Linked DNA regions of Schizosaccharomyces pombe. Changing the gene in region 1 together with any one later gene gives a genetic interaction. Each region holds a gene or a part of one and is shown in the gene's direction. Other genes may lie near its edges.

What was found.
Region 2: mutations in nur1 (region 1) and rpa12 together harm fitness more than expected from each alone (negative genetic interaction), as found in Schizosaccharomyces pombe (2 studies listed by BioGRID).
Region 3: mutations in nur1 (region 1) and scs7 together harm fitness more than expected from each alone (negative genetic interaction), as found in Schizosaccharomyces pombe (2 studies listed by BioGRID).
Region 4: mutations in nur1 (region 1) and dad2 together harm fitness more than expected from each alone (negative genetic interaction), as found in Schizosaccharomyces pombe (2 studies listed by BioGRID).

Annotation. Positions count from the first base shown.
Region 1 is NC_003421.2:447,555-455,611, reverse strand, and holds nur1 (protein nur1), read left to right. Parts: upstream 1-3,848; 5' UTR 3,849-4,196; coding exon 4,197-5,147; 3' UTR 5,148-5,403; downstream 5,404-8,057. Other genes in the region: GTPase-activating protein Gyp3, read right to left, coding at 1-309; DNA repair protein Rhp42, read right to left, coding at 1,183-3,243; SPOM_SPCC4G3.12C (ubiquitin-protein ligase E3), read right to left, coding at 5,883-8,057. UniProt on the Schizosaccharomyces pombe protein: Has a role in meiosis.
Region 2 is NC_003421.2:1,038,222-1,041,516, forward strand, and holds rpa12 (DNA-directed RNA polymerase complex I TFIIS subunit Rpa12), read left to right. Parts: upstream 1-1,878; 5' UTR 1,879-1,911; coding exon 1,912-2,136; exon of another isoform or gene 2,137-2,381; coding exon 2,382-2,516; 3' UTR 2,517-2,795; downstream 2,796-3,295. Other genes in the region: Ino80 complex subunit Iec3, read left to right, coding at 3,153-3,292. UniProt on the Schizosaccharomyces pombe protein: DNA-dependent RNA polymerase catalyzes the transcription of DNA into RNA using the four ribonucleoside triphosphates as substrates. Component of RNA polymerase I which synthesizes ribosomal RNA precursors. Required for growth at higher temperatures.
Region 3 is NC_003424.3:4,054,984-4,063,645, forward strand, and holds scs7 (ER sphingosine hydroxylase Scs7), read left to right. Parts: upstream 1-1,792; 5' UTR 1,793-1,974; coding exon 1,975-2,032; intron 2,033-2,052; exon of another isoform or gene 2,053-2,320; coding exon 2,321-3,306; 3' UTR 3,307-3,832; downstream 3,833-8,662. Other genes in the region: RNA-binding protein Rsd1, read right to left, coding at 1-2, 99-889, 981-1,034; SPOM_SPAC19G12.09 (NADH/NADPH-dependent indole-3-acetaldehyde reductase AKR3C2), read left to right, coding at 5,269-6,123; cpy1 (vacuolar carboxypeptidase Y), read right to left, coding at 6,527-8,662. UniProt on the Schizosaccharomyces pombe protein: Ceramide hydroxylase involved in the hydroxylation of sphingolipid-associated very long chain fatty acids. Postulated to hydroxylate the very long chain fatty acid of dihydroceramides and phytoceramides at C-2.
Region 4 is NC_003424.3:2,783,030-2,790,968, reverse strand, and holds dad2 (DASH complex subunit Dad2), read left to right. Parts: upstream 1-4,676; 5' UTR 4,677-4,820; coding exon 4,821-4,956; exon of another isoform or gene 4,957-4,987; intron 4,988-5,284; coding exon 5,285-5,433; 3' UTR 5,434-5,810; downstream 5,811-7,939. Other genes in the region: methionyl-tRNA formyltransferase Fmt1, read left to right, coding at 1-770; protein Pop6, read right to left, coding at 1,592-1,879; dynein light chain Dlc1, read right to left, coding at 2,455-2,670, 2,731-2,841, 2,891-2,899; porphobilinogen synthase Hem2, read left to right, coding at 6,039-7,028. UniProt on the Schizosaccharomyces pombe protein: Component of the DASH complex that connects microtubules with kinetochores and couples microtubule depolymerisation to chromosome movement; it is involved in retrieving kinetochores to the spindle poles before their re-orientation on the spindle in early mitosis and allows microtubule depolymerization to pull chromosomes apart and resist detachment during anaphase.

The DNA of each region.
Region 1 (8,057 bases):
GTTATTTTCGTGCTCAAGTATGTTATGATGACTGTAAATGGGATACACTAAAGCATCTAGTGCATGTTCACTCTCGCTAGATAAACTGGAGGATGGAGACATTATGTAGTTATTAACATCGTCTGCATCATCGGCATCGTCTTCAGTAGTATCATTGTAAAGATCTAAAACATCATCTAATTCATAATCTGAAGGTGTTTTATCCTGTTCACTACTTCCAAAGTGGATTGATGCATCTGACAGGTGAGCATTCTCCTCTTTAAAATTTGCATCATTCATAATCGTCGAATGTTCAGTGATGCCAGCCATTTTGAAATTCTCTTCTTATGTCGAGAATTCCCTGACTATCACACATGCGACGCTGGTGCTTCGGGCTTCTGGCTTTCTTTCAAAAAATCTCTTAGTTCTTCAACAATGCTTTCTTCATAAAAATTCCTTTCCAGTACCATTACTACCCAGCTGGGAGATTTTTGAGTAATTGAATGAATAATTGCCTTTCAATAACCAGATTTCTTATGCTCCACTTTCTATATGACTAAAATGCGTGGTTGGTAAACGCCAAGAATATATGCATAGTACGCGCTTTTGCAACAAAGCGTGGTGGTGTTAAATGGGCCTACCATGATACCATAATATCGAGGTTACCGAGGTACTTAGCAACACTCATGATAAGATTCCTTCTAAACTATATTTACTACATCTTTTTCGTAAAAAATGCTAAAAAGTATTAATATTATATGAATATATCTAATTTTTTAATAAAATTTACGACTTAGCTATTTTTAAGCAACTTGGATATTACCGTGTAATGAAAATTTTTATTTTTATTTTTATTTTATTTTATTAAGTCGTTGTTCCTTCAAACAAAAAATTTGTAGTACGATTGGCAAGGTAATGCAATTGGGTGATCTATAAAGCGAAAAATAGAGTGTGATCCACCAATATGAAAAATAGTGCTATAAAAATCTGGGGTTTTTTAAATCAATAAAATATTAGATAATTTGGTAGTTTGCTTCCTCTTTTTCCTTTAAATAAATAAAATACTTCACAAATAACCAAATGTCAATTTTGCAAAACAATAAATAAATAAATGAGTCTAACGTTTGGAATTAAGTATCCTCATTGTTCAAAAAACACACATCCGGTTATACAAACCCTAAAGTGTCCGACGAAAGCCAGGAATTAAGCATATTGTTCTTCAATACGCTTTCGAATACGAAGTGCATTTAGCAAGTGTTTCCACTGCCCATAAATAATTTTTCTCTCTTTCATCTGCTGCTTCTCTATTCTGATTTTTTCACACTCAAGAAATTCTTCGTAAACCATTTGAGCCGACTCTTCAGGTACAATTATACCTGTAGTAACTGGAATCGCACGATGTTTACGAAATTCAAACCCTGTAACTGCATCCGCATAATCAATGTTGAGTTTCTTGGCAATTTTAGCAATTCCTCGATATGGCAAATGTGCTGCGCCCTTGGGGATCATGCTCTCAACAAAACAATCCATATTACCATAACCGTTCTTAGGAATAATACCATCTTTGATTGGAGGCGGAACATATAGCTCAGTTTGATCGGAAGAATATAGACCCTGAAGCACTGGTTCATTTGTTTCAGCAACCCGAAATTCGTGTTCACGCTTCCTGCTAATTGTGACGGCTCTCGCCTTCACCATTTTTCGAGGTTGTTCTCCTTCCTTAATTACTCGTCCTTCTTTGTGATAATTTTCAGGCGTTTTGCATATGACCACATCTTTTCGGAGATACACTTCCTCAGAGGTAGCTTTCTTACCGTTACCAAAGGTTGCTGTCTTCACAGGCTTGGCGTTAGGAAGCAATGCTTCTTCTCTTCTAAGATGTCTAATCAATACAAATTCAGGATGATTCTTAAAATCTGCAAAGCTTTTAGGTTCGCGAATGGGCACTTTACTTTCCAGTTCTTTCTCTTCATATATATCCTCTGCATCTTTATTGCGCTTTGCTAGTTGCCCAAAAATAGCCTTATAAAAATCAAAATACTTATCTGCAAAAGAAACGTGTCGAATTTTCTTAAGCCTACTTGATTGGTAATCTGTATACCTCAAAGTTACATCTTTTGCGTATAAATCGTTATCATATGCAGCAACAATACCCATTCGTAGATGTTTTGACTCTGCATACGCTCCTTTGGGTTCAAACCAAGTCATATCGTTGGTATATACCCCATTCAAGACAACCGCATCTACCGCAATCCATTTCTTCTCACTTTGATCATAGATTTCCGTCCAAAAAATAGGATAGCGGAGGTCGTCATCTATAGATGTACTAGTTTCTTCAGGGAGGATATGTGGAGACCAATCATCATAGGAAGCAGTAGAAAATGTCAAAGGTTGAAGAGAAAATATAAGTCTTGCTTTCAGATTCAGAGATCGACAGAGAGCAGTAAATCCCTGTGCCGCCAAATCCCGGCTTCCTTTTAGCGAAAGTAAGGATGCTTGGTATTCATGAAAGTTATGAAATATTTCTGGCGAAAAGCCGATATCAAATCCTTGTTTCAAAGTACGATACCCCAACTTCCGAAGCCCATGACTCTCAATTTTAAAAGATTTATTCCACCACATCCGAAGCCCATTTAACAATTTTAACAAATCCTCGTGCGTCTGGCTACTACAAACCCACGCCTCCACTACGGACGGTTGCTTTTCGACAAGCAAATCGCGCAGCCCATCAAGAAGTAAGGAATTCATTAACCAGCGATTCCTTACTGACCCATGGTACAACAAGCAAGTAAAGTGCATAATGTGAATAGATAATCGAATGCTTTTATCCATTGCACTAGAAGAGCCTTTCTTCGATTCTTTTGTAAGTTGAGGAGTGATATGCTGTGTGACTATGTGTAAATCTTTTTTATCTTCTTGTTTATTAGGAGAAAGATCAACTTGTTCCCAAGTGTCAAAATCGTCGTCAAACTCGTCATCTTCTGAGCTGCCTAACTTCTCATTGTCTTCATCGGAACCTTTTTCGGATGAAGATGCGCTCCTTTGAAGTGAGTTTAACGCTGATATATTGTCATCTAAACTCTCAGAAGGAGGTTCCGCTGAGGAAGACAAACTTGGCTTTTTCGACTGGCTACGAGTTTGACGGTGAGTTGAAGATACAACAGTTTCCTCTTTCACTTCAGGATTAAGAGGTAAGTTATTGGTCCGTGTCCTACGTTTCCTTCCGCGAACAGAGTTCTTGGATGCTTTGCGTTTGGGTGGCATTGAGCAAAGAGTTTATGTGAATTGAATCAACTTTAGGATAATGCTTGTTTAACCGCTGGTTCAAATAATATCAATAACGATAAATTGAATAAAAAGTTGTAATCACAGCCACATCTGATATATTCTTAGTTAAAGAATTATTATTTCAAGCAATCTCTCCAACAAGAAAGCAAAATTCTAACAATGGCTGTGATGATGATTATTAAAAAGTCCTTTGAAAAAGAGGTCAGTATCAACTGCGCAAGAATGGCGAGTAGTTTGTTTGCTGAATATTATGAGCTATATTAACTACTTTTGATTTCAACCGTGAAATAAAGATTTAAAAAATTTAAATCTGAAACATAACATGAAAATAAATTATTAAATAAAAAGTTAAACCACATGCATCACTATTAATAAGAGACAATAAACATAAGTCAAAAAAAACTTCAGCCGTTAAATTTTAAGGAAATAATTCATTAATTAGTAAAACGTCAAACGAAACTGTTTAAATTTATGTCACTGATCGAGCTTATATTTCCTAAAAATAGGAATTTTAAATCGACGACTGATTTTGCACAGCAGTAGTAGTGGTAAAGTTGAAACCATCAATAACACCAATACTTAGGAACATCAACCTGCGAAAGCAAATTCTTTTTTTTTTCTTTTTTATTGCACACTTGTTTACGTACCGGATTTAAAAAGTTATCTTAATAAAAAACTTTTTATCCTTCATTGTTGCAATTGAAGTCGATAATAGCAAGCTCGACCTAGCTAATTAAAAAGCCTTTGCTACTCTAATTAATACGTAAGGTTTGAATCCTGAAACGGAGAAGTGCCCTAATTTCGTTCATTAGTATACGAATATCGGAATTTACCTTTCAGGTCCATGGTTTGTTTCATTTCTAATTCGGCGTTGTTTTATACTCAAAAAGTACACCTGAATTTCAAAACATTGCTTAAAAATCTTTTCAATGGGAAAGTTAATCCGTCGTACATCGCTGACTTCTAAAATAATCAATCTTCCGATCGATTACTTTATCTATGTTTGCGAACAATTTGACAGTGTAGAGTGGGATAAAGTATCAGATCGTTATTCGATTCCCTTTAGCTTGGCTGTCAATTTTATTTTTCTCTTAATGCGCATTTATATAAAAAGTACGCATGTACCAGTTCAACGCAACCAGCTCTTTGTGGATAAGCAGTCCATCAACACCTCTAGGTCCTGGTTTCGTGCCTTCCTATCATTTCTCTCAATTTGTTTTCTTTTCATCAGCTTTCTCAATTTCATATTTAGCACTCGATTTCAAAATAAGCTGTATAGAACTTTGCCTCAAGACAAACGCACGACGACTTCTACTCCCAATGTAAAACCAGTTTTCCAGCACTCAAATAATGATGATGGCGATGAACAAGTTTTTGAATTGAAAGTATGGAGCCCAAATCAATTTTTACTAAATTTTGCTTGCTTATTTTCTCCTGCTCATGCCTTGATTTTATGGTTTTATAGCACTTCTCTACGCGTGACTTTGTTGACTTTTCTCCTTTCGTTTACAACATTGCATTTTGTCAATAAATTTTCCTTACTGCTGAAAGATCAACAATATCTTCATCGCCAGGTATTCTTTGAGTATGATAAGAAATTTGTAGAACCTCGACTTTCGGTAGTTAAACGAGATGTTGCCATTAATACTACTCGTGGTCCCACAACCGCATCTATTGAATATTTCACACCCCGAAAACCCATAGATACCTTCCTTGAACACCGAAGTTCTTCACATGATCATCTCACTTCAACACCCCGTACCCCTATAGCGCTTCAAAGAAGAAGTGTTCATCATCTTCATGACAGCGGAATTAGTCGTGACAGCAGCTCACCATTTAAGAGATTTCCACATCTTAGTGATGGTAGTTCTCGCTTTTAATATTTGTCTGAATTACATGGTTTTTGAATGACCCACTGCATTTCCATTTATCATTGTTGTTTCTGTTAATTCCTATTTTCGAAAAGTTTTAAGTCATAACTCAATTCAGACCTGAAATAATTGTATTCATGAAGACTAATTAGGGTATCAAACACCGTCATTCTAAAAACTTTCGATGATCGACTTAGAACCAAATCCTTATAATTTAAGCTTATTCAATATGATCTCTTATTAAAATCCTTACATGATTATAAATATGAATACTCTTGTTTGTTAGAAAATATATTTAAAAGTGATAATGTGCATCAATTTTGTATCTAAACTAATATGTAAAAATCGAAGCAAAATTTCTAAAAGGAAAATAAATTATATTAAACGTGCAAACCGATTAACTAAAATGATTTTTAGAAAAAACTCAGCTTTGTAAAAAAGGCAATTGTTATTTCTAACAAAAGACGCACAACAAAACAATTCGTTTCCGTGCAGCAAGTAGAAAATTACAAAAATTTTATCAATAAGGTCATAAATGAGAAAAATGAGAAAGTCCCAAAGAGATAGTTGAACAAGGTCAAGCAGTTTTAGGTTATAGCAGCCATAAAAATGGGAAGAGCTATTATGTAGATTTCATTCACAAGCAAATAGTGCGAACAATTATTCAACAAATTTGACGGATGAAGGAAAATAAATGAGAGTGAACAAACATAGAATAAGGCCAGCTTTAATTTCAAGTCAAAATTAATTTTCCTCTTCAGCTTGTGTCGTAACCCCATGAGCCCGACATAACGGGCAGGAATTATTACCAGTGGTAAGCCACTGATCGATGCAGGCCTGATGGAAAAAATGTTTACAAGCCTGCAACTTGCGACATATGTCACCGTTAGTATAAGTTTCTAAACATATTAGACAAGAATCAGCACTAGAAAGTGAAGCATCATCGAAATATGCAAAAAGTCCGCCCGATCGTTTCACATCTTCATGAGAAGCGACTGGTTTCTTCGCTGGACCCAGGTATGTAGTAAGAGCCAACAAGTCTTCATACATGGGATTATCGCTAAACAAGCTAACTGTAGACAAAACTGGATGATGTTCTGGAAACAGACCACCAAACACATAGATAAGCCAATCACCATGGGTGCTATTAGAGAAAGTTCCCTCTGAATGCGTTTGAGTAACCATGTCGGCAGCCCCATTGGAAGCCAACGTACTAAAGTCGCTAGTATTATCATCAACAGAAAGTTGTTCCTCAAATCTATAGCTCCGTGCTAAGCTAGAACGTCTAGTTTGATTAGACAGTAAATCTCGATCAGACGGAAAATGATGGAGTCCTGTAGATAACCTTCCAGGCTGTGTGGAAAATGAGGAGGTATTATCGGTAGTCGGCTGATGAGTTTGTGACATCGAGAAATTGCCGGAGGCGTTCCTCGAAAAAACATTTGATTCAGAAGGCACTGTTGAAAACGGTCGTTGTGAATTGGAATTTGAACTATCCAATAATGAAGAAATGTAATCATCTCCAATGTGATTTTCTCCAGTTGAACCATTTACAGGTTCTTGAGCTCTTCTTAGTATACTTGAATTCCTTAAATCCACGGAAACAGTAGGTTGATTGTAGCGCGAAAACGAAGAAGTAGATTGATTACCCGAGTTGGACGTTGGAAACAAATTTCTGGAACCAGGAAAAAGATTTGCAGGGAAATCGGATACCGGCGTAAAAGCCTGGCTAAAGTCACTTCTTGTAGGTTCAGGATGTGAAAAAGTTGAATTGCTTCTCTCGAATGTAGGAGGAAGATCAGTGGAAAATTCAGTGGACTGAGCCATTCTTTCGGTTATATCGTTAATGGATATGTTTTCTCTACTCTCGTTATGAAGGCTTTGATTTTCTTGAGTCATAGTTGGCGCATGATCCTCGGAAGTCTCGGAAATGCTACGCATACAAACGATAAGGACAGGCACCAAAGCCGGTCCATTTGTATCTGAAGCTTCGTTATTAGAGGCAGGTTGATTGTGAGACTGATGAAACGACGGAAAACGGAACATCCTTAAGTATTGAAGGTCTGAGGAATTAGACTCAGGGTCAGAAGAAATTTGATCATTTCCATTTTGAGAAGAGTTTTGAAGAACATTAGTCAAATTTCCACTACGAAGGTCGGTTAAGAACTGTTCAAATGAACCATCAACAGAACGAAAGCGAGATGGTTCACCGTTTGCCATATTCTGGGAGTCCATATTCCTAGCTTCGCTATTCATAATTGAAGCAACTGTTTCAATGGCAGCAGCAGAAAGTAACCGGCTAAGCATATTGACGGTGCTTTCATCATTACCGTTAAGAGGTGTAAAATTCGAATGCGCTTCAGGATTGCTGGCATTCGGAAATTCTTCAGGAAAGTCATTAAATGCAGAAGCGATAGATGACCAAGACGACCGGCGGGTTTGAGAGTCATTATCATTAGAATTAGGGATGGGTGAAGGGGATTGATGTAGACGACTAAAATCTTGATTAAGATATTGACGCAAATGGTTTATTAAAGAAGGGGAGTTACCGGAGTTATTTAAAAGAGCATTATTTTCCAGAACAGTGGGAAGGGGATGTTCGTTGTTAATTGATTGAAGAGGTGTCGTGTAAGTTGAATTTGAATTTGAGGGAAGTGAATATTCGTTTACACGTTCTTGAGAAGGGTCATTTGATGAGCCGTAAGAACTTAAAAATGGAGCAGAATGGAAGGAGGAGGTAAAAGGGCGTGACGAATTCCTATCCAAACGAGAGGAGTTACCGGACGGACGAGGATGAAGAAAATCATAAGAGCCAATCGCTCTCCTCAATGGGGAGTTTCCAGAGGTGCCTTCTTCATACTCATGATAAGTTTGTGCTAGACTACTGTCATCTAACGCCATTGTACTTGAATAGCCATG
Region 2 (3,295 bases), 590 kb from region 1:
AATGCACAAGCAGTCAATCGCACTGTTTGAGTTTTTGAAAAAATGCATGCCAGTCAAGATTGGATATGTTGTAAATGATGATGAATACTGTGTTATACCCTTTTATTTTCCTTTTAAATTCAAAGAAAGCAATGAACAACTCACTAATCATCTAAGCAACGAAAGAGAAAAAAGAATAGAAAAAAACGTCTATTAACAAGTTAACCAAAAACACTAAAATACTACGTATAGCAATTTCAATCTTCTCGCTATGTCCTACAGACAACCAACTCATGGTTACGTATAACTATACTAAAGCAGTGGTACTCCATCCTTATGCAACAATTCTACAAATGGAAATTTTACAAGACACAGATTTTAACGTACTTTTAAAGTATCTTACCTTTATTTAGATACGCTTAAAATCTCTAACCTTTTTTATCATCCTTTTTCTTTACCAAACTGGTTTACTTGTTTCTTTCCTTGGCAAAAACCGAGCTACGCAATGATCGGCAAAGTAAATATCCATTTTCACCGACAAGATATGGTACTCACTAAGTAATTTCCATTATGTAGCAACAATAACTCTTCCTATACATTTTTGTTGCCTACAATCCCATAGACTATGTCACGTTGCACTCTTCCAAAAAGGACTACCCCAGAAAGAGAGAGAGATATGAGGAAAAAAATTTTTGCTTCTAAATAACTAGAGCAAACAAGTCCCACTGTTGTCAATCGTCGGGTACAGCACAATAATCTCACTAGTAAAAACATGCCATATTCATCTCTGTTTTACCAAAATAGAAAATCAACCTTACATTGCATAATATAGGAATACGGAAGCGAGCCCTATACAGATGGACTGGGTTATGGCGGTTATAGACAAAGGCGCTTTCAAAACCATAATGGATTTGAAACGCTCAAGTAGTGGAAAACACATAATAGTAAGTATAATGCCAAATCCTTTGTAGAAAATACACAGACCTTTTTATTGAAATCGTGAATATGATTCTTTTTTTTTTGGTGATCTCTTTTCTTATTAATGCTATATCTTTTGAATTTATTTGTTTTTTCTTTTATTTAGTAGTATTTTTTTTGCATTTTGTTATTTATCTGTTCGCTTTTCTGTTGTACATGTAATAGTTGCAACGTACAGACAAATTAAATTTTTATTATTCTTATATTTTTTATTATTTCCAAGCTTATCACATAAATTACGATTAAAATACCTAAAGTGCAAAATATGATTTCCAAATTGATGATTCAATCAAGCAAAATAATTTTCTTTTGAGATAAGGAAGAATTTGTTAAATAATCAAAAGCACAATTTATAAGGTACAACGATTTTGAAAGTCGCTAGTATATATGTACACAAATCTTGTTCTGTATTCCGTGACAGGCTTTGTATTTGAACAAAGTATTGCCCAGCTAGACAAAAATCGTTTGGGCAACAAAATTTTAAAGTAGCAAGAAATAGCTTCAAACAATTAGTTGATGCTTGAAAAAATACAAAGAAATTTTTCTTACCGAATTTTTTCCAGAAACAACGATACAATACTTATATAGGTGAAATTTCCCGAGAAAGCTTTTTAAATTCCCCAACTTGGAATTCCAAGGTTGATTTATCAATAAGTAATTTCTTTACAAAAACGAATGATTTTTAAATGTCTGTAATTTATGCCTTTAGCATAATGTTCATCAATAGATCAGGAAATTCGTTTACTCATCTCTAGCTTATTGTTTACTAATTAAGGCACTATACTGATCATAGTCGCTCACAGTGTGTATTGGCTTTTACGATAATGATACACTCGCTTTTCCATCACTTACCGCAAAATAATGAGTTACAGCGAAAGAAAATTGCACTTGTCAAAGACAAACTAGCTTGTCATAAACACCAGTGCCTTCCCCATCAAGCAAGGAGGAATCCCAATGTCGGCAATAGGGTCTTTGATATTTTGCTCAGAATGCGGTAACTTGTTGGAATCGACTACTGCCCAATGGACTACTTGTGATCAGTGTCAATCCGTTTATCCTTCTGAGCAATTTGCCAATTTGGTAGTGGAAACGAAGAGTAGTGCAAGTGCTTTTCCTTCTGCTTTAAAACTCAAGCACAGTATCGTTCAAGTAGAATCTCAGAAGGAGGAGGCAGCAACGGTATGTAACTTATTTTTGTCTATTCTTTTCGAATCCTTTTTTTCATGTTGGTTGTCATTCTTCTTTCCTTTTAGGCTTTGTATCATTTGGAAAACTTTTTTTTTTTTAAGAATGCATTAGGAGAGTCTAATCAAGGAACTTTTTTGTATCATATATCCAGTGAATTGAAAAATCGGCACAGTCAGGCAAAGGACTTTATCATAGTCCTTTTTTGGGTTTATTGCCATACTAACAAAGTTTTGTAGATTGAGGAAAAATGTCCAAAATGTGGAAACGACCATATGACTTTCCATACTTTGCAATTGAGGTCTGCTGATGAAGGTTCTACGGTGTTTTACGAATGTCCTCGATGTGCTTATAAATTTAGTACAAACAATTAGATTGAGTTTTCATCTGTTAATCATTCTTTTGGTTGTGATTTTCTCAATATTTCACTGTTTCTTACGCCGTTCTTCATGTATGTATGCTGACTGATTTGTATGAAGACTATTGTTTTTAATATCTTCGATTGTCCTTCTGCTTCCGTTATTTTCATGCTCGATAAATTTTATTTGTCTAGTAATACGGCAACGTTCATGAAATAGAAAGAGATGCTCTTGATATCCGATTTTCTTGTTTTGTCTTCTATTTTATCCAGGTGTTAAAAAAAATAACAGTTCTTCTGTTCTTGTTGGTTCTATTTTTCGGGGTTACTTTTTGTTTAAAAAATAATATGGTATAACTTATTCCTTTATTCATTATTGTCTTTCCTGGTTCAAACTAAATAGAGAAAATTCATTGTCTATCACGATTGAACCTGTGGATACTTCCTTTCTCAGAATTTTTAAAGAGTTTGAGTTTCAATGTTTATCAGCATTTTATGAATAGTAGTATATCGGTTATTTATTTCTTTTTCTCTAATATGGAAATGAATGTGTAACGAAATGGAGCGTACTATGTACCGTAACACTCAAGAGCCCAAATGGGCAGGTAGGTGTTCAACCATTTGAAATATATTCTCACCTGCCTTTTCACATATGGCGTCTGTTAAATCCTTTAAACGAAAATATTTAAAACTTCGAAAGTCATTTGATTCGGTAGTCCTTGAAACAGAGGAAATTGAACAAAAGATTGCTGAAATATCAGAAGTTTATCGCAGAATTTTATTAGAAAATGCGTA
Region 3 (8,662 bases), on another chromosome or scaffold:
CACTATATTATATTCGTTAGCAAACGAACCCAATTTGAAAAATAAAAAAAAACAGAATAATATCTATTTAAAAAAAAAAAAAAAATTATAAGACATACCCTTTCGATCGTCCGCTAATCTTGTCTCGAACAATTTGAGCATCGCGAACAGGACCAGCTTGTTCGAAAAAATCATATAATTCCCTAGAAGTCAAACGATTTGCGAGTTGAGAAACGAACACAGTACGGCGATCACGCTCTTCCTCTGAAAGTTTAGAGGAGCGTTCACGAGGACGGGAACGACTTCTCTTACGCTCATGTGAACGGTCATCATCCCTCAAGTCCTCATAATCATAATCATGGGCTCTAGAAGAACGAGAGGAGCGTTCTTCATAGCGGCGACGACTACGACTATGCCGCGAAGAGTAAGGAGGGCTGCGTGAATAATCATCGTATCGATGGCGACTACGACTTGAGGGATGGCGGCTTCGACTTGACCTTGAACTGCGATCGCGATCGCGAGAACGAACGGGTGATCTACTTTGATGAGAATCTACAGAAGAGTGAGGAGAGGGAGAGCGACTACCATAATCGGACCTTGGACTATATGATCTCCTATGGTGTCTTGGGGTGCGATGACTTGAGGAATTTGTAACTACATCATCGTTATAACCGCTATCCTCTCGTTGAAAAGATTGTTTGGAAGATCTGGCGTACCGATAACCCATTGAAACGGGAGGAGGAGTTAGACGACCTTCACTTTCGTAATTTTTAGACACGGGTTTGAAAGAGCGATCATGCAACCGTGTAGGCGGTGGAGGAGGGTTAGAGGGATGACTATGAGTGGAAGAGGTGAGTGAGGATTCATGAAAAGAAGAAGATGCCTTTTGCTGATTTTCTTGATTTTGCGGCTAGGAAAAGGGTTAGTAAAAACAATAAACACGGGAAGACAAAAAAACAAAGGGAAAAGGCGGGAAGGAAGGAAAAAAATTGTAAACGTACCACTTCTTGCTTACGAAAAGGAGCCTCAGCCAAGGCTTCCGCGTCCAGCTGCATTTAGATTAGATCTGTTTATCTATGCGTGGAAAATACGTTCGTTTATTTTCGTTTTCAATACAACAAACTCTGACAGGATCGGAACAGACTTCGACTGGAAAACTAAGTAAGCTAGTAAAAATGGAGTTTTGTCAGTCTAGTAGCTTTCGTCGCTTCTAACACGAATTGTTTTGTTAAAAAATATTAATAATGAGTACTCTTTTGAGCTATTTTGTCCTCTTTCTTTCGGTGGAAAAAAAAGTGGAATATTCTACTGCCTAAGCGATAAAAGATGAGAGAAATTTTAGTACAAACAAAAAAGAAAGCGAGGAATAGCGGAATAAGGAAATTCCAAGCTAAAAACAATTACCGACAATAAGAAGCAAAGAAACGGAAAGGAAGGAAAACAAAATTATACCTAACCAAACCAACGAAAAGTAAATCACGAAAAGTTAATAAATTTCGATCAACTTAAGGTTTTCTCTTTTCAAGTATTTTTTCGCAAATAATAATTTTTAGTCTACTATGAATAAATCAATGAATTGTATCTGTAAAGCACTTCACTCGTCTGTTCTTTCCCTGTGTATAGGCCCTTGAGTGCAATTTTCTGGTGTTCAGTTTCGGAACCCGTTTTGCGATACGGTAAATATTGTTTTCCGTTGTCTTACCATTTTTCGGAAAAGTCGATCAAAAATAGCACGATTTTTTGGTTCGCCCCGCAATGCCTTTTTGCCCTTTCCTGCGACATATATAGGCTACTGCATCCACGCCACAACATCGTGCCATTAACGCAACACAAACAAAGAACTGACATTTTGATCAATTGGACAAAAATCCAAGTAAAGAATCATAGGATCAGTTGCTACGTTGTAATATTTACTGTATTTGTTTATCAAACTCATCAGAAACACGCTTGCTACAGTTTTATCACGAATTAACAATTCATACTCCCATCTCCAAAATGGCCTCTGTTACTAGTGAAAAGTGTGTTATCCTTTCTGACGGCACTGAATACGATGGTAAGTATTTAAACAAGGAGAAATGGCAGGGTGTTTGGGTTTTGAGAAGGAGATTTGGTTGAAGGACTAAAATTTTTTCTCGGCAACAGAGTGTTTGAGAGGCAATGTATAAAAAACAATGAAAACGCATATAGCAAAGGCTTATTGGCAAAAGATCCATTGTGGGAGATGTGCCATTTCTTATCTTTTTTCTTTGTTCGTTGTGCTTTTAACTTTTTTTCACCTTTCCCCCTTTGCCTTAGTTACACCAAAATACATGTATCGTTCTTTATACTAACATTCCATTAGTCACCAACTACTTGGTTGCCAACAAGGACGCTGCTGACTTGCTTCGTCGCTATCACCGCCAAGAGGTTGCTGATATCCTTAATGCTACCTCCAAGTCCAAGCACTCTGAAGCTGTTGTTGAGATCTTGAAAAGTGCTAAGGTTCCTTTGAAGAATAAGGAATTCAGTGATCTTGTCGACCAGAACATTGGTGTCGGTTATGGCAATGAATTCATTGTCAAGCCTACCGATCTTGACAAGGATTTCGAGAAGAACCATTTCCTTGACCTCAAGAAGCCTTTATTGCCCCAAATTTTGTTTGGTAACATCAAGAAGGATGTTTATTTGGACCAAGTTCACCGTCCCCGTCATTACCGTGGCAGCGGTTCTGCTCCTTTGTTTGGAAACTTTTTGGAGCCTCTTACCAAGACCCCTTGGTATATGATTCCATTGATTTGGGTTCCCTGTGTCACTTATGGATTCTTGTACGCCTGTACCGGAATTCCCTTCTCTGTTGCTATCACCTTCTTCATCATTGGATTATTCACCTGGACTTTGGTTGAATATACTATGCATCGTTTCCTCTTCCACTTGGATGAGTACACCCCTGATCATCCTATTTTCTTGACTATGCACTTCGCATTCCACGGTTGCCACCACTTCTTACCTGCTGACAAGTACCGTCTTGTAATGCCTCCTGCTTTGTTCCTTATCTTTGCCACTCCCTGGTATCACTTTATTCAACTTGTTCTTCCTCACTACATTGGTGTTGCTGGTTTCTCTGGTGCCATTCTTGGTTACGTTTTCTACGATCTTACCCACTATTTCTTACATCACCGTCGTATGCCCAATGCTTACTTGACTGATTTGAAGACCTGGCATTTGGACCATCACTACAAGGATTACAAGTCTGCCTATGGTATCACCAGCTGGTTTTGGGACCGTGTTTTTGGAACTGAGGGACCTCTTTTCAACGAACAGGGAAAGATCAGCACTAAGGCTAAGTAGATTGTGATTGCGTTTGAATCATTTAGCTGCTAAATTGCTTTCAAGGTGTTAAAAGTTTCTTTGGTCCTTTTTAACTATCAATAATTTTGTGTGCTATATAAATCTTGTTGTATTTTTCTTTTCTTTTTTAATTGCTTTCCAAATTTTTTCTCCTCTCTTTACCCTTGAAATCACTAAGCAATTTTCCCCCATTTTCTCTCTGACTTTAACTAGGCCTTATTATAGTGCCTTAAAGCTGTGTATTATATTTGAATTGCAGAAACATCAAATTTGATTTAATTTGATTGATCCACTCGCTAAAGCATCTTGTATCCCACATTGAAATTGTCTTGTCTTTCTTCTTTTCTATTAATACTATTTTCTGGTTTCTTTTGAACAAGTTTTCAAACTTTACCTTGTTAAGTCGAACTTAATAATATTATCTTGACTATCGGCTATATAATTTGAGTCTAAGGTTGCTATTTTATTTTTCCTTTTATCTGTCTTTTAAATATAATTCGAATTTTTAATTGTTTTTACCACCCCATCTGTTTGTAGTGCGAAATGATTTTCTTGTAGAAGCATCTCCATATCATAAGAGCGCTGAATAGTTTTTGTTGACCAAATATGCAACGCCGAGACGAAAAATTTAGGAAGAAGATGAATAGAGATATCCACAATATATATGTTTTAACTATATTTAAGGGTCATTTTACATTTGTTTATAAAATGTAAAAAAATTTATTAAAAAGATCGTAATGAAAGGTGTGGGACTCGAACCCACGAGCTTTCGCACTAGTGCCTTAAACTAGCTCCATAACCACTCGGACAACCTTCCTTTTTTGAGTATTAGGGTAACTTAAATCATCATATAGGATTTCACTAATAAATTTTTATTTTAAAAATTTGTTTTCTTGTGAATAAAAGTGTAGCAATTTACTGATTATTTAACCAGAAAATAGATTTTAGACAAAATCTATAAAAATATTTGTTAACAGAAACTAGCTTGTGGGGAATGCGTTTAGAATTCCTCAATTACAAGTTGCAGGTAAATTTACCCTAGTGTTTGTTAAGCGGACGTCGAGTTATTAACCATTACTATTGACGTTGGTTAACATGAATAAGCTTGAATTATTGCCAAGTCATTTTCCTGACACTTTCAGATTTGTTTATTTGTTTTTTTCTCAACCTCTGACATTTAGATGCATAATACATGTCAAAGACTTCTTAAATGATTACGATCATCATGCCTTGAAGGAGTTTCCTCAATTTCTTGCCGATAAAGACTATAGTAAAAAATGATCTAGCAAAACTGAGTAAGCATTGTTTATGATTAAAGCATTGCTATTATAACGCTACAGCTTAATGGTAACTACCTTACATTTATTAACATTATAGGTAAGAATATGCTGTAAAAACCGCCAACTCATCTGGTGGTGAAGATAATCCTCGCAGCTAAAACAGAGGGATTCATTCAAGAATTGAATATTGCTAAATCAATTAAATACCGAATCTAACGTTCAACTTATTCTTGCCTGTAAAACTGTTTTCTATTCAACTTACACTGTTTAGTTGGAACAAATCTGCTTTTGGTTACACGTTTGTTCCTTATCTGATCAGATAATTCTTCATTTTAAAGTTCCAAAGACTCCTCTCTTAGATGCTGCACAACGTCAGTCAGATATTCTGTATGCCAAGCCAGACTTGGCTGATGTCATCTGACTAAGTTTTTGGAAATCTATATAAATAGCGATATACGGCCCTTTCTCGCACTCTTTTCACCTAAACAGAGCATTTTTAAAGAAGAAATTTATTAATTCTTGCTGCGATTCTCTTTTCTTTTGCTTGCAAAAATCTCGGTTTAACGTTTATTCCATTCATTTCTATTTAACAATTTTTATCCTGCAACTTTTAAAGTAGCGCCTCTTTGTAGCTTACTCTTTTTCTACTTTCAAGTTCTTTCGTACTCTTAACATTTTCAACATGCTTATCGCTGCTATGGGCCCTAAGATTCCCGTCCCTGCTTATGGGGTTGGTACAGCTTTGTTTAAGAAAGAAAAGGGAGAAATCAATCGAACCATTGTAGATTCGGTAAAGAATGCACTTGCTGCTGGTTTCATTCATATCGACTGCGCGGAAGTATATGGCAACGAAGAGGAAGTTGGGGTGGCTTTGAAGGAAGCTAATGTTCCAAGAAGCAAACTCTTTATTACTTCCAAGGTTATGCATAATGTCGATAACATTCCTGAAGCCCTCAACGAATCTTTACGTAAGCTTGGTACTGACTATTTGGACCTGTACCTTTTGCATAGTCCTATTCCTTTCTATGAAAAGAAAATACCCATTTCTGAAGGTTGGAAAGCAATGGAAACGGCTTTGGGAACCGGTCTTGTCCACTCAGTTGGTGTTTCTAACTTTCGTATTCCCGACTTAGAGGAGCTGTTGAAAACTTCAACTATTACTCCTCGTGTCAACCAAATCGAATTTCACCCTCAAGTATACAAGGCCGCGAAGCCTCTTGTAGAATTTTGCCAGAGTAAAGGAATTATCGTTGAGGGTTATGGCCCTCTTTCTCCCTTGGTTCGTGATGCGCAAGGTCCTGTTGCTGAATTCACTAAATCATTGGAGAGCAAGTACCATGTTTCTGATACTCAAATTCTTCTCAAGTGGGCCTATTCTAAAGGCGTTATACCTATCACTACTACCTCAAAAATTGAGCGTATGAAGGAGTGCTTGAATTTTGATTCTTTCACTCTAGACAAGGCTGACATTGACGAACTTGGTACCTTAGGTGTTCAACATCACAAGCGTACATTTATGAAGCACATGGATGAGTAATACTTTTATGTGATCAAGATAATTTTTATTACGAAGCACTTAGTTATGGACAATCTATTTCAATTACAATCGACTGTTTACATCTTAAACCAAAAATTTTTGTATGCAGTAATTATCGGCGTAGTAATATTGGTCGGGAATTATAACTATGTTGTTACTATTACGACACAAACCGCGAGAATTGAAGAAATACTTACAGTGAAAAGTTTTCCAACAGCGTTACTTACTACTACTACAAAAACAAATATTTATGTAATTCATCATTATATCTTTCAAATATTAAAATCAATTTAATTAATAAAACGCAAAGATTAATTATGGCTACTGTATATTAGCCAATAGTCAGTCATATTCGGTTCATATCAACTATTCAGTAGATGTAAAATGTCCAACTGATGACACTTTAAGCAAAAAGAGAACCATCTATCCAGCTGTTCAACATTTCTAAACTAGCTTCGGGTTGGTTGAAAGGAACCATGTGTCCAGCTTCGTAGAGGCGAAGATAACCAAAGTTTTTGAAAGACTTACCACGACCAGCTTCCTTTCCATTAGGACTCCAAGGCTTCAATTCGGCCTCATAAAACTCACGTTGACCAGCCCACTCAAGTGCGTCGGTCCAAGCTTCATTGCCCATGTAATTGCAAATGTAGTCAGCATCACCGGCATAGATAAGAACGGGTAGGCCAGCTTCTAAGATTGCGGTGACATCGTCACGGAAAGTCTTACGCATCCAGTCACCCTTGAAAAGGAAACCAATGTTTACTTCAGTATTGCATCCCTTGTAATCGTATTCAACTCCCAAAGCTTCTTGAACAAATTCTTGGTTCAAGTAACTCTCAATTGCACCGGTTTCGGGGTAGCATAAGTGCTCTTGGTCACGGCATTCTTCACGAATATCATAAATGTTGAGTCCAGTCTTAGTAAATGGTCCAATCATAGCGTTATTGCAATACAAAGAGGCACCAATGCAAACAGGAGTAAAGCCAGTCTGGTAACAGCCAGTGATTAGCTTAGCGCAGGTATCATAGGCACCAGTAATGCGATCACATTCCTCTTGGGACATAATAGGACCGTAAGGGCTCTCGCAAGCCATTTTTCCGTAAAAGTAGTATTGGACCAAAGGATCAGTCAAACCATTTCCAATCAAGACACTCTTCAAATTGATGTATTGCTTCTCCATTTCATAGCCGCTGGCAACAAAGAAGTTAGCACCTTGGTTATGCTCCATAATTTCCTTGGCAAACTGGGGGATGTAATGGCCAGCATAGGATTCACCAGCAATGTGAAAGTCCAAATGAGCGTACTGAGGGAACTTGGCAAAGAAAAGGTTCAAGAATGCATAAACATCCTTACCAGCCGTAACAGTGTCAAGAACCGAGTCATCTCCGTTGCTGAAACCCGTGTTGATAGGTTGATCCAAAAAGATAACTGAAGCATTGGAGTTCCAACTGTGAGGGTTATATTCGGGTTTAAGAGTCTCAATGTTGATTGAAGAAGGACCTAATTCCATGAACAAACCAGTAAGGGAAGAGCAACCAGGACCACCGTTCAACCACAACACGACGGGATCATTCTCGGGATCATTTCTAGATTCAAAGAACCAGAAGAAAAGATGTCTGTCATCTTCGACATCTAAGTAACCGGTGTATTGCTTAACAGTGTCAATACCAAGTGATTCAGGTTTGGAATCTTTAACGCGAAGAGTGTGATCAGGGAAAGCCTTTAAATTTACATGTTCACCATTCTCTTCTTGTGAAAAAACAGCGTAGGGACGTGAAGAATCAGCAGGTTGAGCATTAGATGGCTTAGCAGGATGACTCTGGTCACGGAAAGCAGTCATAGGATCAATACCTTCAGCCTTGAGCATTTCAAGGTAGGCAAATTGTTCAGGAGTGAGATCACTCAACTCCAAATCATCGTCGAATTCAAATAGGGGGGGAATTGATGAATCCTTTGGGGCATTTTCTTGAATATGTACAGGAATGTTACCATAGTATTCAATACCAAGAGTGTCTAAAAAGCGAGAAAACTCTTCGGCAATTTCTTCAACAGGAACAGAATTGATGAGGTCAGCGAAAGCCTCAATGACCAAAAGCTCATGAGAACTTTGCATGTTTTGCTCAGGACGTTCGTTGTGCTTCTCCTTAGGTCCTTGATGGTGCTCCTTGTCCTTAGGTCCCTTGTGGTGCTCCTTGTCCTTAGGTCCCTTGTGGTGCTCCTTATCCTTAGGTCCCTTATGGTGCTCCTTATCCTTAGGTCCCTTATGGTGCTCCTTATCCTTAGGTCCCTTATGGTGCTCCTTATCCTTGGGTCCCTTATGGTGTTCCTTGTCCTCAGGTCCACGATGATGCTCAGGACCTTCATGCTCCTCAAGCTCATGGTGTTTGAAAGGAGGAGGAGGCATGTGCTCTCCAGGCTCGTGATGCATAGGAGGAGGAGGCATGTGCTCTCCAGGCTCGTGATGCATAGGAGGAGGAGGCATGTGCTCTCCAGGTTCGTGGTGCATAGGAGGAGGAGGCATGTGCTCTCCAGGTTCGTG
Region 4 (7,939 bases), on another chromosome or scaffold:
CGGCTAGCTTTGGAAGGTTTGTGCCTTTTAAAATTTTGAATCAACTGCCATATGGGGGGATAAATATACATCCATCCTTACTTCCAAAATATCGTGGAGCAGGCCCTGTTTATTCTACTATATTAAATGGTGACCGTCTGGCCGGTGTGACAATCCAAACAATGGATTCAAAGCAGTTCGATAAGGGGAAATCATTAGCTCAAGCGTACCTTAAATTAAATGGGAAAGAAACATATACACTATTGACAAAGATTTTGAGTTTAGGAGCTGCCGGCATGTTAGAACATGTCCTTTTACAATCACTCTATTTACCAAATTGCCAAACAAATACCGTAGCTCCTCAAATACATGGGCGGATTACAGATACAGGAGGCCTACAACTAATTTCAAAAGAAACATTTCCATCATTTCAAGAAAGTTGGGCTAAAAAAATTACACCTGAAGATGCTCATGTTAATTTTGAAAGCATGAACACGCAACAAATATACAACATGAGCAGAGCTTTTAATCACGTATGGTGCATTTTAAATAACAAAAAAGTTTTTTTGTACGACGTTCATCCGTTGCACTCAACATCAGCAGAAGATTGGATTCACATGAAGCCAGGAGAGTTTGCCCTCTTGGAGAAAAATCTTCTGTTGGTGAAGACATTAGACCATGTAATGGTTATAAAAGGAGGAATTCGACTATCTGCTAGAAAAATAGTTGATCCTGTCGAATGGGGGAAAACATTTAATAGTGGACGAGGGGGTCGATTCCAATATGTGTAAATGATTTAAACGGTAAATAATAAAAAATTGATAACTTAATGCTTTAATTTAAATATTAATTTCCTTTTTTATTCGATTGGCTAACGTCAATATCCTTTAAAGCGCTAATGTAAATTCTAATACATACTCAAAATAGTCTTGCGTCAGCTTGAAAATAATGTTGGTATCATCTCTAAAACGGAGAAATCCATAAGAGTGCTTTTAATAATAAGATTAGCGCTATTGTATGGGGCCTTTAGATTCTTAAAGGTGTGTCTCTCCATTAAAAACTCCGTAGCCATACAAGTTTGATCCTCACTTTCACCAATTGAATCTCATTCCAATTTCTAGAGCGGTTCATATCATACAGTGTAAGCTAGAACCAGCGATCTAAAAAAAAGAGGATAAGAGTGAATTGATGAAATCAATTGAAGATCCAAAACTTTATTGTTCGCAGCGTTGGAGCGACCAAAAAGCGAACTTTCACAATTTGAACCATTCCATGTGCGAAAAAAACAGCATTATGAATTAATTTCGTTCCACTCAACCCTTTTACCATAGCATCATTCGCAAAGACGTGAATGGAAAAAATAATATTAGACGTCTACAAATTGGCAAAAGGACATTGCAGGTCATCAATTATTGAAGAAGGTAAATCGAGTTTTCATCGATTAATGTACTATCATTTATAACAAAAAACTCACAAAGTAACAGTAATATAACTCGTAAACTGGTAAATTGTCAATCGATTGGTTCAGGGAATTAGCGTCTATAAAGTATGAATACAAATGAAAGAAGAATATTTTTGGTAACTTTGAAAAGAGTAAAAATTTGCGTATTATTTAGCTGTCATGCTCCAAAATCTGTAGGTCGATCTTCAACTGAGGAAGTGATCTCCGATTTCCGTGTATCAAAGTGTCAGAAGACTGCTCCTCGCTAGGAATTAATTCAATCGTTTGATTAAAGGGAATTTTCTGCTCGTTACAACGACGTTTTAATAGTTCAACTAGACTTACTAGTTTTACAGTAGCATCTCCTTCAGCCACAAAAGAAACTTGTTTTTCTTTGACAAAAGAATCCCACAACTTTAAAGAAAGTTGCTTAGCATTTATACTTTTCTCTATTATCATAGTTTATAAGCAAAAGCCTGCATGGCGTTTAGTAGGCTAATAACGTGGTAGTTAGACAGGTGCTCCCAAACATTAATTAATAAATTACATAGTTGAAACAACATTTTACTGCCTTGTAAAAAGATGTATGATTTTAATCTTAAAGCAAAGGTATATGATATAACAAATTTAAAATCTTTTTCGCTATTTTTATTGTAAGTACCTCAGTTTCTTGCTAGTCTTAGAGAGTTCAAGCAAAGTAAAGCTCGATCAAGCTAATACTGACACGATTCAACGTCCTTTGTAACCTTTGGAAAAAGGACGAACACGAATCGTATACACACCAAAATGCTTATAAAATACGAACATGTTACAGAGCGCTCACAAATGTCTGAATTTTAAGAAACGTAACTATCGTAGATTGCATATAATAGGAATAAGTAGAAAAGAAGAGTAGATAGTAAAGTTAGTAAATTGCAAAGTTAAAGGCAATTTGCATCTAAGGCAAAAACTGGTACCAGGGGATAAAAAGAGGGAATGAAACAAAGAGGTCTTTGAAGATGATCATGATTGGAACAGTTTCGATAATATGGTAATTAAATGGAGATCCACATAATGCTCAATACTACGTCAATAGCCTCACCGCTCTCTTTGATAGTAGTCATTCCATCCTTTTCACAATTCCAGCAAGCAGCGTGAGCTGCGTGAACGCCTCTAGAAGGATGATCTTCGGGAAGCTTTTGTACAAGAGTGGAACTAACAATCCATTTGTAAGACTGGGTTTCCTTATTCAAAGCATTTAATACGGCATACTAAATGAGACATAAAGTTAGCTACCATACATAGATATTTGTAAAATAAAATGAACTTACAATAACAGATTGATTCATTTCAGCTGTTTTGTCTCCGTCATATTCGGAAGCCTTCAAAACCGGCTGAGCAGCTTCTAGGCAAATTTCTTCAAGTTTTTTGGAATCTATAGGCTATTTTCATAATCAAATTAGTAAACGAATCGCGTATTTGACGACTTACACAGCTCATTTCGAAATGGGGTATTTTGATGAGTACAAGGAGGGTACGCAGTGAGATAAAGACACCCACAGCTAGTACGACGTTTAACGGTGACAACCCCATCGATACAAAGTTCAACGCGAACATAACTCACGTTAACATTTCTTTTTATTGTTGATTTCTTTTTGCTTTAAACCTGAAGTTAAGTAAGGATTTTTCGCTTACAGCGAATCGTCAACTTCACGTTGGGATGAATGAGATAATTCAAATAAAGCATCAAGTATTGCTTTAAAGGAAAACAGCGTTTATTTCTATTTCTTACATTCTTTAATTAATACCAATTTGAAAACAGTTGATGGTTGAAACATCGATAATTGATTTCGAAAGAAATGCATAATGATTTTGGAAACCATGTCTTCCTCTAACCGTAATAATTGTATCGAAAAAACTCATAATTACACATAATTACTGGTGTTTGGATTACCAAAAGACATTAATGTGTGCTTTACGCTTTTAACAATACTCTTAGCAAGTCCAGTTTCAGTAATGAATTGAGTGTGTTTCTTTGAAGACGGGCCGAAGGAAAAAACAACAATTTAAATTCTCTGAACTTAAAGTGTATAGAATCTGTTTTTAGTTATCGAAATGTTAATTCAGCATGAAGGGAAAGCGATTGTTTTGCTGTTCATAGAATCCAAGTATCAATGTAGCGAAATCATCCAAATCTTTAACTATTTGATCATTGAATAAAACTACAAGATAATTTATGTTTAGTATTCCTACCATTAGTTCTTTCAATAATTTTACAAAAATGGAGAAGATCTCATCGGTACTGCGATACATAAAGATGCTACTACCCAAAGATTTTAAATCAATGATCCTTTCAATCCCCTAACCCTTTTATCCTTTTCCTTTTTTTTCTTTCCTATAGATTATTTACTGACTTTTATTTACAGGGACATTCTGTGATATAACGGTATTATAACTTGTTTAATTGTTATATAAATGTAAACGTTATTGCCGAAAACCATGTATAAAGTGCGTTATTCTAAAACTGTATATAGAATATAATAACATACTGCGCGAAATTTAATTGTGAGATCGAACAATTCAGTAACTGAGTATTTGGAGTAATAGTGAATTTTTGCGAAGGAAAATACTCGATTACCATGTAAACAAGGGTTTGATGTATGTTAAAAAGTTGTTAATTAGAAATGGATAATAGCCACTCTATTATAATTTGTTCTAAAAAAGTTGGGTATTCTTTAACGACCCGTTGGAACCGATCATTGAAGAAACTTCAATAGTGGATGAGACATTTTATGAATTTTTAAATTAGTCAAATACGGTTCAAATTTTAGAAAACATACGTGGAAGTTGCATCCTGTCTAGAATAAAAAATTCATTTCCTTATGTATCGGAACGTTGACAATCTTGTTGACCAAAAGAATATACTATCGAACCCAAATCTTAAAAGTCTTTTAAGCCCATTATACCTTGTGTAAAAAAAAATAAAAATAAAAATAAAAGAAGAAATAGTAGAGAATATGCACAGTTTTGATCCTCTTTAAAACTTTAGAGGGATGAAGCAATGCATACTTACTTAGTAAAATATGGATATAATAAGCTAGCTAAACTTGACCCATTATTTGAGTAATTATATTCACTATTCAACATAGTTTCCTAAATTCATTATTACTTTAAATTAATGAACTAACTAATTTATTAAAGATGAAAACAAATGGTTAAAATTGAGTAAAATCAATCATTATATTTTTTGTTAGTCTCTATTATCAACCTCTTTATTAGTAATACATTCCGAGATATAAAATTCCAGAAACGGAAATTATTTGTTTTAAACGTATAATTACAAAACCGAAATCGCCTTATATGGTGTAGGAGATAAATCTAGTAAATTTCGTACCTTCTTCTACAAACATTTGGCGTGAACATGCTTCAAGCAAGGATTGAGGAAAAGCAAAAGGAATACGAACTAATATGCAAACTAAGAGATTCTTCTAATGATATGGTTCAACAAATAGAAACGCTTGCTGCTAAATTGGAAACTTTAACAGATGGAAGTGAAGGTATGTTCATTACGAGGAAAGTATATAAAAGAGCCTTGTCACCAATCTGTTTAAGTGCTATTCATGTGAACAAGTATAAATATCATTACATTGAGAAAAGCAAAGAAACAAGTGAATTGATTGGATCTGCAGGATTGCAAATAAAAGCAATCATTTGCCGACATGTCTCTAAATGAACTTCTACCTCTCAATAATTCACCTAAACGTAAAAAATATAATCTGTTTATTTATTTATTTTTTCTATTTTCACTACTACTCATACATGCTTGACGACTCTTTTTAATCCATTATAATAAATGTTTGACACTCAAATCACTAACAAAATCAGCTGTTGCTACTGTTCTCAATAATTGGCCCAGCATTTTTGAGTCAATACAGATAGCATCCCAACATTCAGGAGCTTTAGTCCGAATTCCTCCTTCTACTTCAAATACCAACGCATCTGCTACGGAGCAAGGCGATGTTGAAGAGGTATAAAGACTTAAATACTCTTTTTAATTTCTCACTGAAGTAGAAAAGGCCAAGAATTGGTTAAAATAAATATTATTGTTCTGTCCATTTATTCATATTGTTTCTTCTATTTCAGAATTGGTAAAGCCGACAGCAAACCCAAGTTCCAAGTATCTTCACTTCCTAATGAAATGGAGAATGAGATCACCTTGTAAACTAAATGATATCTAAATTTTTCATTTGGTCATTTTCTTTTGGCGTTCGTCCTGTTTCGCTTGTTTGAATACTCCCAGCATTCCCTTACGACAATTAATTTCTTCAAGGACAAACAATTTATTCAGGAGTGATACTATTGTTATGTAATCAACAAATATCGTGGTCCGATGCCCGATTTTTTAAAAAAAAGTTAAACTTATTTATCTTAACCTTCGCCAACCTCTCGCCATCTGCCACTTACCTTTTTAAAAATATTTCTTAGGAAATCTTGTTGATCTTCCGCTAGAACTTTTTTAAATAACCAATAAAAGGCGCTTTTGCTGGTCCATTAGTTCCATTTGTCACAAATCTGCTTTTTTTACGCAGTTTTACATCTTTAGGAAAAATCAAATAAATTTTGTCAGTTAGTATTTAATATGCCTGTTGATATCAGTTCTCTTTTGCATGCTGGGTATTCAAACCCGTTGCTTCGTGAATGGCAAGGTGTACGTCCCATTACCAAGTCATCTCTAATGTATCCTATCTTCATTTCCGAAATAGATGATGCTAAGGAAGCCATTGATAGCATGCCTAATCAATTTAGATGGGGTGTTAATAGATTGGAAGAGTTTTTGGGTCCTCTCGTCAAAAAAGGTCTTCGTAGTGTAATTCTGTTTGGTGTCATCGAGTCCAAAAAGGACTATTGTGGTAGCATGGCCGATTCCGAAAATGGACCAGTTATTAAAGCCGTTAAAGAAATTCGTCACCTTTTTCCGGAGCTGGTTGTTGCTTGTGATGTTTGTCTCTGCGAGTATACTGATCACGGCCACTGTGGTCTGTTATATGAAGATGGCACTATCAATAATGCTAAATCCGTTGAGAGAATTGCTGAAGTTAGTGGAAATTATGCCTTGGCAGGCGCTCAAATAATTTCTCCTAGTGACTGCATGGACGGTCGTGTTAAGGCGATTAAGCAGAAACTTGTAGAGTTGGAACTGTCTCATAAAGTATGCGTTATTTCCTATTCTGCAAAGTTCGCTTCTGGTTTTTTTGGTCCTTTCAGAGCTGCTGCTAATGGTGCCCCAAAATTTGGTGATCGCAGCTGTTATCAACTTCCCTGTAATGCACGTGGCTTGGCCAAAAGAGCAATTCTTCGCGATGTTAGAGAGGGTGCTGATGGTATTATGGTAAAACCGGGAACACCTTATCTCGATATTTTGGCAATGGCTTCTAAGCTAGCAGATGACCTTCCTATTGCTACTTATCAAGTTTCAGGCGAATTCGCCATTATTCATGCTGCTGCTGCCGCTGGCGTATTTGAATTAAAAAGACATGTGATGGAAACCATGGATGGCTTTATGCGTGCTGGCGCTAACATAGTTTTGACTTACTTTACTCCTGAATTATTGGAATGGCTAGAATATTAAACAAAAAATAATGCGAAATCAATCATCTTCAAAATTATCATGATTGAAAAATTATTTTGTTTATATTCTTTAATGGTCTAGAGTTTCACTTATGAAATTGTTTTTCGAATCTGCGATTACCGGTTCTTGTTTATTAAAAATTTTCGTTTATAATCTGTAGCAGTTATTTACGAAAGAAATTGTTTTTCTTTCTTTTAAAATACTTTAAATTCGTGTGTAGAACAAGATTTTATCTTAGACAACCGTAGGTTGCCAAATTATCGTGATATCCTATTGACTCCTTTTGCAAGCGATGAACGGACATGTTAAAAATTTAATATTTAATTTATATAATTTGATAGATTTGTCTCAATACTTCATGGCAGTTAGAATAAAGTAAAGTACATTATCCACGTTTACTGACTATAACTTTCTAGCATGATAAGATAAATTAAATATTCACTATACTTCACCCAAAGTAATTGGAGCATGTTCTTCTCAAACATCTTTTACCTTATGAGTCAACATTTGGTAGCTCAGTGAAGCTTCTGACTATTTATGTATATATCGATATAACTTACAATGAAAAAGTATGACAGCTGCAAATGATTCAAAAGTAAAATGCAACGACAAGGAACATGCTTCTACGCTCTTCAATTGCATATGATGCATAATGCATTGGAGTAATAATATGAATCTATGTATATAAGGTAGGACAACAATTAGTACTAATTAGAATCAAAATCTTCATCCTCAACACGTTCAAAAATTTCAAAATCAAAAAGAATGCCAACAAACACAGAATCTCATCTAGTGAGCATTTTTTTTTTGAACAACAGTAAGCAATGTAATTTAAGCAGCCGGGATTAACGTCACATTACGATTCCGGAAGAATTAATTTAAAGAAGGAATCGTATGGACGTATTATGTTG